2 linked regions of the Caenorhabditis elegans genome follow. The protein of the gene in region 1 interacts with the protein of each later gene in a biochemical or structural test. Each region holds a gene or a part of one and is shown in the gene's direction. Other genes may lie near its edges.

Evidence for each region.
Region 2: the proteins of unc-96 (region 1) and pxl-1 form a complex in vitro, tested with the Caenorhabditis elegans proteins (one study listed by BioGRID).

Annotation. Positions count from the first base shown.
Region 1 is NC_003284.9:618,141-623,109, reverse strand, and holds the start of unc-96 (CRE-UNC-96 protein), read left to right. Parts: upstream 1-1,819; 5' UTR 1,820-1,831; coding exon 1,832-1,930; intron 1,931-2,636; coding exon 2,637-2,785; intron 2,786-4,969.
Region 2 is NC_003281.10:5,890,007-5,898,171, reverse strand, and holds pxl-1 (Paxillin homolog 1), read left to right. Parts: upstream 1-2,160; 5' UTR 2,161-2,165; coding exon 2,166-2,211; intron 2,212-2,492; coding exon 2,493-2,622; intron 2,623-2,697; coding exon 2,698-2,786; intron 2,787-2,832; coding exon 2,833-2,926; intron 2,927-3,885; exon of another isoform or gene 3,886-3,943; coding exon of another isoform or gene 3,944-4,041; coding exon 4,042-4,093; intron 4,094-5,747; coding exon 5,748-5,894; intron 5,895-6,153; coding exon 6,154-6,327; intron 6,328-6,569; coding exon 6,570-6,665; intron 6,666-6,713; coding exon 6,714-6,848; intron 6,849-7,494; coding exon 7,495-7,773; 3' UTR 7,774-7,899; downstream 7,900-8,165. UniProt on the Caenorhabditis elegans protein: Required for myofilament organization of the pharyngeal sarcomeres and for pharyngeal muscle contractions and hence for pharyngeal pumping. Together with lin-8, might be required for myofilament organization in the body wall muscles.

The DNA of each region.
Region 1 (4,969 bases):
AGTTCTGACTATTTTCTATTTGAACATAGTCTTTAGCTAGCTGATATACTTGGAAAAACCTGAAAATTAAATAATAATAGTCTTGTATTCAAAAACTAACAAAATGTCCAAAAAGTTATATCATGTTCTTCGTATTAGTAATTAATAAAATGTTTTTATTTCATCAAACTGGGAACAAAAATCAAGTCAAGATTATAGGGAGCTTTTAAGTGACTACGTAAGAAACCATTTGAAGTGAAAAATGAAGGCGAGTCCAGAATAAATCTGACGGGAGAAAGTGTTGATGCTTTCAAATTATTGATCTTTCGAGGGATCTGGCAAAAATTTAGTTGCGCGCCAGATTAAAATCAAAAATTAAGCTATAGTGGTTTTTTCAAGTATAATGTTGATTTTGTGTTTTTTTTCCTGGTTTCGAAAGCACTTTGGCAATTTTCCAAGAAGTTTGAATGATTAAGAAAAATCTAAAATTGTTGATCAACTTTATCATAAGTATTTCAGTCAACACAGATTTTTTTCCAGAAATTTTGAGAGTTATCTTTGATTCCGGAAATGACGGTCTTTTCCTCACTGCTTTTATATTGCCATTTTTTGTACGAGCCACTGTTGCTTTGATTATCTTTCGATTAATTCTGATTCAGGTTTACTTTTTTGATAATTCAAATTTTCAGAGCTACCTGGCGTTAAATGTCACCCTTTTTCCCTTTTTTCAAGAGAAAATTAGTTTTGTTTGTTTCAAGAAACGTTATTGACAATAAATCTTAGGAGTTATCTTAATCTAAAAACTGGGAAAAAAGTAAAACGAATTCAGTCTACAGAATTGAAGTACAGTAAATGATTTTTTTCATCAGCTAGAACATTTTAGAAGCCCTTTTAGATTTCAGGTTAAGCTATCTCCCAAGCATGTAGCCGCAACTGAGATTCTGCAGTTGTTCTAGAAGATTTTCACATCCCCCATACGGCTATTATTTGTCTGAAATTACCGTTTCAAATTTCAGCGGCCTGATCAAGCCTGATTAGATTCATATAATTGTAAAACAAACTGCAATACTTTAACTTGAAAAAATCAGTAACCCGATGGCAGCACCATTTTTCACAAACTGAAACACGAGGACGCCGGCCCGATTTGTGGGGGGGGGGGGGGGGGGGGGTTTGAGAAAAATCATCGAATCGCAGCTAGTGCTCTTTTGCCGAGGGACAAGGAAGAGAGAAAGAGAGGAGATACGCCCGTTGGCTTTACACAGGTTTTGTGTTGAGATCGTCAAGAAGACGGGAGGTAGTCGGGAGGGGGGGGGCGAGAGTGCAGTGATCAGAGAGGCGCAGTCGTTCCCGGCTCTCTGAGCACGCACACTTTTCTCCTCTATTCACGGGAAGACCTCTCAACATTCACCCCACTCTTTTATCTTTTGTATTCGGATTTTTGTTTTTTTTTGTTGGTGCTTTAATTAATTTATTTTTCGATTTTGTTAACTTTTTTATTTTGCTCTGCTAAGTATGTTTAATTTCTCTAAATCTTCAAAACTTACATGTATATATTTGAAAACATGCATCAAATTCTAATTGAAAAAGCCTCCAACCAACTATTGCGAAATACTTTTGTTTTTTATATTGTGGGCCAAAAACACTGATACCCCTATAAAAACATTACCTGTATCCCGAAAAAAACTTGAAACTCTCGCGCGACATTGACATTCCAATCAAAAAGGCGGTGAGCAAATCCCCTGAGCACCACTCAATTTCTCAAACAGAAAAGTTTCTGTCTCATACATTCTTGCCAACTTTTTCATCTTTTTCTACTCATCCCTGAGCTGTTACTTTCCAGAAGACTTGGATAATGAGTGAAACTGAAGATGTGAATCTCAACCTGGATCCGGAGAAACCCAAAGTTCGATCAGTTGTGAGATCAGACAGCGGATTGGAAAATGAGATTCCTGTAAGAAGAGAAGGGTGGTGTGAAAAACGAGAAATATATATATATATGTATATGCTTTGAAAGTTTTGAGTTTTTTGAGAGTTTAGGCAGCATTTTACATTTTATCGGTTTGCACCCAGTCCGTACATTTTTCGAAAAGCTTTAGCCTATTTTTGAAGATAGTTGAAAATTTTGAAATTGTTTCTCTTCAGTTGGGATTTTTGAATGTCAAATACTTTGATTTAAAGTCTAAGGGAATACAAAAAAGTATGAACTGGAAAATAGTTTTTCAAAAGTCAATACCTCCCTTTCATATGAACTGAGAATCTTTGATCACATTTTACAAGAGCATAATATAGAATGTAGTGTATGTCTAGACAATTTTTCTGTGATGCCGAAAAAAATATAGAGGATTAAAATAGACAAAAAATGTAGACTATGATCACAAAACGCTCATCTTATTAAATATACTCAATGTTTCTTAAAACAAACAAGTAGTTTGGGATCTGGATAGATTAGGATATCAATTGATTAATTCGCAGTACGAGATTTAAAAAAAACTGTTTATGCAGTTTTGTAAAAAAAAAAGACTAATAACGTCAACAAAAATTATATTGGATGCAACTCTCAAAAATTAATTTGAAATTGGTAAATCTTCACGCTTTAGTTTATGACAGAATTAGAAATTCTAGTAATTGCATAAATCCGAATACTCTCCATTTTCCAGAAAATTTCCGGAACCTCATCAGCATTAATAGAAGAGGGGTTATCTCTGCTCAACCTCAAATCTTCTTTGAGCCCAAATGTTGCTCCAGTTGCCGTAGATTTGTTGGATAGAACGTGCCCAAGTCCAGATTACGGGCTGACGTCAGAGAGGTTAGTGAACTTTTTTCTTTCAAGTAGTGAGCTCCCATTATATTTCAAAAGTTTACGATACCGTGTATAAAAGATATTTTGATTGTTTTTTCCTCCACGGGTTTAAGCTTCGGCTGAGGCTTTCACTCATCAATTTGGTTTTATTAATGCATATTTATCTTGAAAAATGGTTTTAGCTACTTTTATCTATTGCTTGAAGTGAATTTCATCTGCGTGTGAATTTTCAACTACTTTTAAATAAATTTTCGCTGAATTATGGTTCTGCAACCTATAATACTATGTTAGCAAATGTAACTCAAAAAGTACCTAACAAGAACAAAAACAAGATTGTAAGAGTTATCAAAAATGACCGAGAGCAAGATTTCTGCCAGATGTGTAACTGAGTGAGATATGTGTACGGCGGAAACAACACATTACACAATGACCCGCAGAGTTTGATTAGATTTGTTAATGTTTTGGTTTTGAACGCGGTGAAAAAGAGATCAACTAGGACTTGTCAAAATCCAAAGTAATCATATTTTAAATGTTTATTTTTTTATCAAAAGAACAAATCGGTGTAATTTGACACCTTTAGCAAGAATTATCACTGAAATCGTGACGAGAGCTAAAAAAACTAGATGCGTCTTCAGGCTACAGTAGCAAATTGTTGACAGTGAAAATTATAAGTATTGTTTTTTGATTCCTAGTTTATTCTTTTTTTTTAAATTTTAACCTTTATAAAAATATTAAAGATTTCCACTTCTCAGTTACCTCAACTGTGATTTTTGCCGTGAAGCAAAGATGATTGAAAAATACCGTTAGAATCTTGTATTTTTGACCAACTTTTCTACGCAGTGGTAACACCATAATGATGATCGTAACTATCGCAATAAAAATGTTCCCACTTCTACCATAATCATTAGTCCTTCTTTTCACATGTTTTTGAACATGTTAGCAGTGTTGACTTTAAATTAATTTTTCTCCGGGCTGTCATGTACCTACTGGATACAGGGAGGATATGTCTGAAAACTTAATTTGGACTATTCCAAGAACACTATAAGTGACTGTAACTGCTAAATACAATTTATTGAACTTCCACAGCTTGATATTACTGATAGTAAAACATTTACTCATGACAATTATATTAGGTGTTCAAGGACTAATTATAGAGCTTGTAAAATTTGAAAAAAATCGGTTGCCAAATTGGGAATTTTTAAAAATTTTCTTGTATGTAGTGTTTCAGTCTGTGACATTTTTTTAGAGAAAATTCTATTATAATTTGTGTATATCAATGGAAAATTTTGGAAGTAGATGTTTATTGGTTTCATTCACAACGGAACAAGATGATTTTTTCTCGTAAATGGCATGACTCGGAATAAACTTTCTAGTGTTAAAAATGATAGAAAAAATCTTAGATTTTTTAGAAAAATGCAATTCTAACCAATTGTTATGAACGCACGTGCATTCATTCGAAAAAAATAACGTGGGAGGCTCCAAAGTCTAAAAGACCGCTGATAAATTTAACTGTAAACTGCTGAAATATACAAAAAAAAAAGTGAAAACAAGCAAATTATTAAGGTAACCTTTCTAATAGTTTTTAAAGAAATCGTTAAGCTCATAGAAATGTATTTCTATAATTGCGCCTCATCATGTATGTATTACTTTTCAATGTTTGATAGAGTCATTAATAATTTGAAAAATATTGTTTTTCCCCAAATGTTTGAAATAATGTACAAAATAATGTTTTCATGTGATGCTTTAAACACATAGTTGGTTTTAAGTAAAAAAACAAGCCTAAGAAAATTAGTTTAAGTTAAACAATCACATGCGAAACTTAAAAAAACTGCTCGTTTCAGAAATTTAAAAATGAAAAACTCAGAAGCAGAACTGTTTTTTTCGCTTCTTATCTGCGCTATTCCAGCATTCACGTGGTGTCAGAGTATCTCATTTTGGTTTGATCTACATAGATCTACAAAAAAATGCGGGAGTTGAGACGCAAGGTTCTCAACTGATTTCGCATGGTAAAGAATGTGCTGACGTCACATTTTTTGGGCGAAAAAATTTTCGCATTTTTGTAGATCAAACCGTGAAAGAACATCCTGACACCACGTGAACATTTAAAAAGCCTTTGTTTTTGCGTGACAATTGTTCTTACGGTTTTCAGTTTAGTGAGATTCGGACGTAGTCTGAACTTATTACTTAATA
Region 2 (8,165 bases), on another chromosome or scaffold:
TCGGATCTCCATGATCTTTTCAAAGTCATTTCGATGGTTTTATTTATATCCGTGGCGGCGCAAACTTGTCATCAAAAAGTTAAAGCATGCGGTGGGAGGCGAGAGACACTCTTGACGCGTTTTTTTGTTTTACTGTGAGCAGATCTCTTGAGTCTCTTGGAGACTTTTTTTGCTAGCTTCACTAACTATTACAAGACATTTTAGAGCATAGTTTTCTTTCTAACCAGTGGAGAGTTTTATCTAGAGTCTTTAGAGCCAGTACCATTAATAAATTTCATCAATTGTATAGAGCCACATTTTTAGAAACTGTATCATTTTTAGATCAACCGTCGTACTTACTATCTTACGGCAGCCGTTTAGTTACATTTCAATCGAATTCAATTCGAATTCCCTCAAGCCTGTGTACATCTCAATCTCTTCCTCCCGCTCATTCTTGATTCAAAAACAAAAACTTTGCCTCCATTTCTTCCCGCTCTTTTCTATGTGTCGTTTATGTGTCTGTCTCTGTATCTCTTTAACTTTCACACTATTTCCTTTTATCGTCTATCTCTTCTCTTTTTTGAAGAAACTCCTAAAGATTAAGGGCCAAGATCATGAAGAATTCCCATGTTCCATTTTCTAGTTTTTCCTTAAATCAAATAATATTCTGGTAAAATAATAGTTTCAAGAAGTTTCAAGAACTTCCAAACAACTTTCACAATATACCGTAGAAATTCATAAAAGTTTTGACATTTCTCATTTTTCATGCATGATTGGCATGTTCCTTTAGTACTCGATCCGGTTTCACAACACCGTTTAAAATGTGATCTATTCAAACGGAATATGTGATTTCAATGTATCTCTTGTCATAGGGAGACTTCTGCTACTTGGCCGAGAAAAGGGATACCTCGGTCATCGCTTTCTTTGGCGGTCATGTTGCTAATAATTTATTTAGATTTTCCAAAAATTTTTTTTTTCGAAAAAGAGAGATTGGATTACTAGATTGGATTACTGATTTGACTTTCAAGGTTTTTTTAAATATTTCCTCGTTATCGATCCCTTTTCCAAGTACCAATTATTTCCAGCAACCTGGATTATTTTCTAATTAAATTTCAATTCAATTAGCAAAAACATGTACTAGGAATATGTGTAATTGAAAAAACTCTTAACGAACTGAATTGCATAAAACCATTCCTATATGTTGCTAAAATGTCCTAATATCATAGAAAACGGTTCAAATGTTTTTTTAAAATAGTGTAGTCAAAAAGTGGCTAGTTCTCACCTTCTTAATTTTGGAATTCTACAAAAAAGTTTTTTTTTCACAATTTTAAATTTGAACCAAAATTATCTTAACACTTTTTCACAATTAAACTAAGTTTTCCTATTGATCAAGCTTTAACTAATATCAAAATGATCATTCCTATTCTGAGAAGCAAATTAATCAAATTAAAATATATGGAAAGTAGACATATCTACATTAAAAAATTTTTTATGGGAAAATAGACACTTCTAATTTAAATTTTTTTAATGAAAAGTAGACACTTCTACTTTAAAAATTTGAGAGGTGAAGTGTCTACTTACTATTAGACATCCTTTTCAATATTTTAAAAACTTAGGCTACTGGATTATTTTCTGAGGATTCCTCATCAAACTGTAATTTTTATAAATAAAAATTTGTATTTTTGTTATCCAGATGCTATTCTTTTTTCAATGTTTTGTACTTCTTTTATGTCATCTCCATAAATCTTTTTTCCTTCTCCTCCTCTTTCTTTCTTCCTTTTTTCTTTTTTTTTGTCGGCTTCTTCATCGTTTTTTGTCTTCTTCCTCCCACTTTTTTCCACTCACTCACACATATTTTGACACATTCTCTCACATTTTTAGTGGTCCCCATACACATGCATACACACTCATCTATTATTGCACTTTTCCTTCTTTTATACACCCTCATTGGTACCGTTTTTTACTATTTTGAACATCTTGTTGTAAATTCGATCAATTGATAATTTGTTGATTTTCCGAAACTTGACTAAGCCGTCGGGTTGCATTCTGAGGTTCTGAAATAACTGAATTTTGGACTTTTTATAAAATCCAATTACATTATAACTTCTAATAAAGCTCTTTCGTCCGCCTTTTAATTGTTTTTTTCTTGATTTTCTCCTGAACATTTTTTGAATATTTCAGTAAGAATGCCAAGCGACGATCGTTTTGCGGATGCGGTTAAACCAGCTTTAGGTACCCAAGAACTTTCTAATGGAGGCTTTCCGGTGGAGAAATGCTCCCAGTAGTAGTCGTAGTACTAGTTTGGAAATTATGAGTTTTTTGATTAATGGGAAACTTATTAATATTTGGATGGAATTATCATAATTTTGAAAATTTATATGATTTTCATACTTGATAGTTTTCAATAATAAAATTCTTAAAAAGTGGGTTTTCACTTTTCAATTTGAAACATTGAAGAGTTCAAATTCTGTAATTGAAACAAAAAATAAATAAATATATTATTTTAATTTCAGAAGCCCTTCTATCGGATCTTCAACACACCACAGAAGTGCTCCGCCGTGCTCATATAAGTGATCGCCGCTCACAGAGTCGTGATGATTTTGAGCAATCCTATGATCTTCAGGGAAATCTTAACACACAGAGGTTAGTTTTTTTTTAATGTTACAAACCTTTCCATACATGTTTTAACATAAACTAAACATCTAATATTTGTGTCAGTGTGAGCAATGGAAATATAACCACTTCACCCTACAAACGTCGTTCGTCAGAAGGAAAAGATTATTCAAAAAGTCAGGAAAGGATTTATGGTTTGTTTTTCATGTAAAGAACATTAATATGTAATTGTATCTGTAGAAAATGAATCAAGACTTAACCCACCAGTCTATTCACGTCCAAGTGTCCAAAGTCTATTGTCTCAAGTCGAAGAACCACCAATTCGAGCAAGCAGGTAGGAGAAAACGTTTTTTGTTTTTTTGAAAACATTTTTATCTTCGGAGTCATATTTTGAAATTCGTGGCCTAGAAAAACCTTTTAAAAAGCTATACTATGAGTCAATTTAAATATTAATTTCAAATCTTCTGATTTAATAATTTCAAGAATCTTGCGATTAGGATTCTTAAAAGGAAAAATTTAAAAAATTTTGATTGGCACTTTCAAAAAAATCTGTAAAACATTAACATCTTACATCTGAGAATGCGAAAATATAAATCAATGGCCTAGAACACACAAAAAATGTTAGACCAACAATTCAGAATTTAGAATTCTATTAGGCATTTTAATTCGAAAATTCATAATTTTTTGTAGCCTAGAAAGTTCACTTAAGGCCTCGACATTTTTATAAGATTTGTTGAAAATTGTTAATTTTTATATCAACATTTTTTGTGCATCTTCAAAAAAATTGAAAACTTATGTATATCACGAAAATTGGTTCAGATATATATTTTTTTAATTTCTAAAAGCTTTCCAGACAACAAAAGAAAAATGGCCTTTAAGTTCCAAAAATAGCTCCGAAAATAAAAATGTTGAAAATATAAAACTAGAAAATTCCGATTTGAAATGGTCAAGCCCGTTTATCAAAATGCCAACTCCGTGTTCCATTTTCCCGCCGGCTCTTAGGTCATTTCCCGTGTTTCTGCGTCTAAAATCCCGGGAACAAACAAAAACTCAAATGTGAAGGGAAGAACGAGAAAAAAGACTAATAACATACACGCATATTACTTCTACTCGTCTCATCCCGTGTCGCAAATCATCTCTTCTTCCCCGGTACAGAGGAGGAGCCGGTTATTTTATTTTTCACTGAGTTTCTTCGTCTTGCTCAGTATCTCTTGAGCTCAACAGGGGTAAAATGCTGTAGGGCGGGAGAGTACCTACTCTCTATCAAGTGAGAAAGAAAAATATAGAGAAAAGGAGCAGCACACCTTTTTCTTTTCCACGCACACAACACTTTTACCTATCACTTGGCGGAATGATGCGCGAGTTGCAACAACGGCTTGACCATTTCAATGGTCCAAATTATGCACAAAATAGTCATTCAAACCACCAACAACATCATTCGGTTTATAGCTCACGCAAGAGTCTCGGACCACCAAGTCAGGCACAATCCTACTCTGATGTCGTAAGTTTTTATTTCTTTTCGGGGGGAGCTTCTGGGAAGGGAAACTGAAATGTTTTCGTTGGGAGACCTTAATTAAAAATGTCCTTAAATTAGAATTTTCAAAATCCCAGAATCTTCATTAAACTTTCCCAATCTCTACAAATCTAATTCCGGATATTTCTGTGTTCACAAATTTTAAAACCTAATTTACTGATCCTGAACGATATGTATTCAACTTAGACGCAAACTTTATGAATTTGTAGTTTTTCCTATTTTGGTCACATGACTACAAAGTAGAAAATTCGGTCATTCTTTTAAAATAAAGGTTTCTTGAAATTTTTGGGACTTTTTGAAATAAAAATAATTTCAAAATGTTTTTTGAAATATTCAATTTACTGTCAAAAATTGGCAATTACTCGGGTTTTGCCACTGGTAATTCAAGAAATCCACCAGAATATTATTTAATTTTTGTTCAATTGTTCTAAGTTGACCATTTCTTGACAAAACTTTCAAAAATCTCAAGAAAAAATGTAGAGTGTTTAAATATGGTATTAGGTCATGATGGACTATTACTAGTATGGTTTATCAAAATCCACAATTCTTTCACTTAAACGTCATTGCTCCAATTTGAAAGATCATAAAAGATTTGGCAACATTTCACAACATAGTCTCCTCATTTAATTTGAATACATTGCTCATCTTGCTTGTTTTGTAGGATTCCATTAATCCCAAATGCAAGCGTATCCCCATAAAATTCAGATGCTCCACTACTTCCTCTGCTTCTTCTTTTCCCTTATTTTCATGTTCTGAGAGCAACTATTTGTCTCCCTCGTTTTCGTCACATTTTTCAAAAACTTTTCAGTTTCATATTTTACAACATAGTAAAAGGAGAGGAAGCAACAAAAAAAAAACGAAAAGTGGAGCGAAATTTCTGTTTGTAAAACCTTCTTTTATTGCCGCGTGGCTCTTTCTTTTACGTGGAAACACGTGCTAGAGAGTATGTGAGAAGAAGAGACACAGACGAGCTCCACGAGCAAACAGTACGGGGGGCTTCTAGAGGTTGAAGCGGGGGTGTAAATGAAGGTGAAACGATGGGAATAGAGAAAGGGAGATATTGTTAGCTTTTCCTTGGTTTTTGATGAGAAACCTTTTGGAATGAGGTCATATGGAACGATTTTTAGTGTATTTTGATGACTATTTGGGAAGGGGATCTAAATTTCGAAATTACAAAGTTCGGGTTTACAGAGGATAAATAAAAACATAGGGAAAATACTTCCATACCCCGCTATCAAAAACAGAATGACCTCGCTAAAAATACGCCGCGGCAATTTTACTAATTTTTCACAGAAAGTTTCCAAAAGCATTCTAGAAATGGATTTGTATACTTTTGTGTGGTCTAAAAGATCATTACGTAAATTAGAAAATAAAAATTACCCCGTTTTTTTGGCATATTGCACCTTTTCTGTTGCCACTTACCAATGTTCAGTCATTTTTCATTTTATTAGTTTTTCAGCTTACTTTCCGACAAAAACCTTTTTCCATTAACTATAAGTAAATATGCCAATTCCAACAAAACATACACACACAAACATAAATTTGTCATAATGGTCTCGCAACGAATGAAAACACACATTTCCAATCGTTGCCCATATACATAAAAACGTGGAACTTATAGAGATCGAACGGTCGGTCTCCATCAAGAGACCCACTGCATTCGGATTCAATGATTGGAACAATGAATGGAGAATTGAGCTCAAAACATGGAGTCAATACAATTCCAAAAGGAGATTGTGCTGCCTGTGGAAAACCGATTATTGGACAGGTGAGCGTTTTAATAAAACAATTCTAGAATATGTGAAAAGTTCTAGGATTTATTAATTTCGCTGTGTATTACTGTTTGGCATCCTGAAATTTAATTCTGATTAACTGTGACGTAGGACAGTTCAAAATAATGTTCTCGCGGTATTTAGTTAAACTACGAGACTCTAGAAATTTCCTCAGAATAGTTTTAAAAAGAATTATTAAATTTCAACTTTGGAATGTCCAGAAAATCAAATTTGAAAAATAAAACCATTTTTCAGGTCGTCATTGCTCTTGGCAAAATGTGGCATCCGGAGCATTACACTTGCTGTGAATGCGGTGCCGAACTTGGACAACGCCCATTCTTTGAGAGAAATGGACGTGCTTTTTGTGAAGAAGATTATCACAATCAATTCAGTCCAAAGTGCCAAGGATGTCATCGAGCCATCACTGATGTAAGTGACGTTACAAAATTCTTAGTCATAAATATTTGGTACAATTGGATAATAGTGAATACAGAATATTGTGCATGATTTGTAGTATTTCCAGTTTTGAATGTACAACGAAAAACGCCGATTAGTGGAGTTTTGCAAAAATTAATGTGGACACAAGTTTAATAGTGTTTTTTTTTGTTAATCATCTTGAATATATTTTCATGAAATAAAAATGATTAGAGAAACAAAATTTAAGTTTCCAGAGATGTGTGAGTGTAATGAACAAGAACTTCCACATTGAATGCTTCACGTGTGCAGAATGCAATCAACCATTCGGAGAGGATGGATTCCATGAGAAGGTTGGTTAAAAAAATCCGTTTGAAAAGCCTTTCAGTTTACACTTTCAGAATGGACAAACCTATTGCAAACGTGACTTCTTCCGTCTATTCGCCCCAAAATGCAATGGCTGCTCTCAACCAATCACCTCAAACTTTATCACCGCTTTGGGAACTCATTGGCATCCGGATTGTTTTGTCTGTCAGGTATTTTTAGTTCATTATCATTTGTTAAACAAGGAAGTCAATTCAAAAATTAAAGAAACCATCGAAAACCGATTGTGCGGTATGTTTCTTGTCGGTGTCTCTCTATTCGTCTATTCGTTTCGTTTTTTTTTTCTTACCCCTTTTTATTTTTAATGAGTGGAGCAAATTGGCTTGTGTGAAGTGCCAGAAAATATTATAATGAGAGGCTTTTCGTTGATAGTATGCTGCAGTGATAGAGTTTTGTGGTTTTTTTAATAGTAACATTTGAAGTTAAAAAAATAAAACTATATAAAACTAACTATAAGTGTTAGGTTTATATATTTTTAATTTTGAGCCAACTGACTGAGTTCACATGGGACCTATAAAATGTGCAAATTTACAAGTTTGATTGAACCTTCCAAAACTTCATATTAATAAAAACCTTGACCCCTAATATATTTTATAATACCATTAAAAAAGATGTTTCGGTTTTTCGGTTTATTGTATCTTTCCTTACCTAGTCGATATAGACATAATTAAGCATGAAATATTTTAGAATTATTCCTTTAGCTGTAGTCAATAGTTTTATTTTTGGAATAAAATATTATTTTTATTTTGGTGTGTCATCTGTAAACTTCCCTAAATATATGTGGATTGTTCTTTACAGCATTGCGGAGTTTCTTTCAATGGTGCAAGTTTCTTTGAGCACAACGGTGCTCCACTCTGTGAGCGACATTATCATGAATCTCGTGGTTCAATCTGTTCTCAATGTCGTGGAGCCATTAATGGAAGATGTGTAGCTGCAATGGGAAGAAAGTTCCATCCGGAACATTTTAGATGCTCATATTGTAATCATCAACTGACAAAAGGAACATTCAAAGAAGTTGATCGTCGGCCATTCTGTCATAAGTGTTATAATAATACGTATGCATTGACTCCTGCCTAATCTTTTTTTTTCTCTTTTTTGTCTCTCCTGTCTTTTTGTGGTTTTTCAAGTTTTTTGAAGGTGGTAACTGGAAAAGATAATTCAGTAATAGTTTAGAATATTAGGCTTGGATGAAATCGAATATAATATTTTTCTCTTTGAGATTTTCTAGTTCTCTAATGCCATACTTTTCAAAAATTTAAGTGTCAGCTAGCCTAAATCCATAGACTTCAGCTTGACATACAGGATTAAGCCTAAGCCTAAACCTATACCTTAACTTAAATTCCAGTCTACTCAATTCAAAAACCTTCCACCTTACCACACGTCCATTGTATAAAATATGAAAAAAAAAAGTAAATCAATTTTCAAAAAAAAACCAAAATTTTTATTAAAATTTCTACGCATTTCAAAAT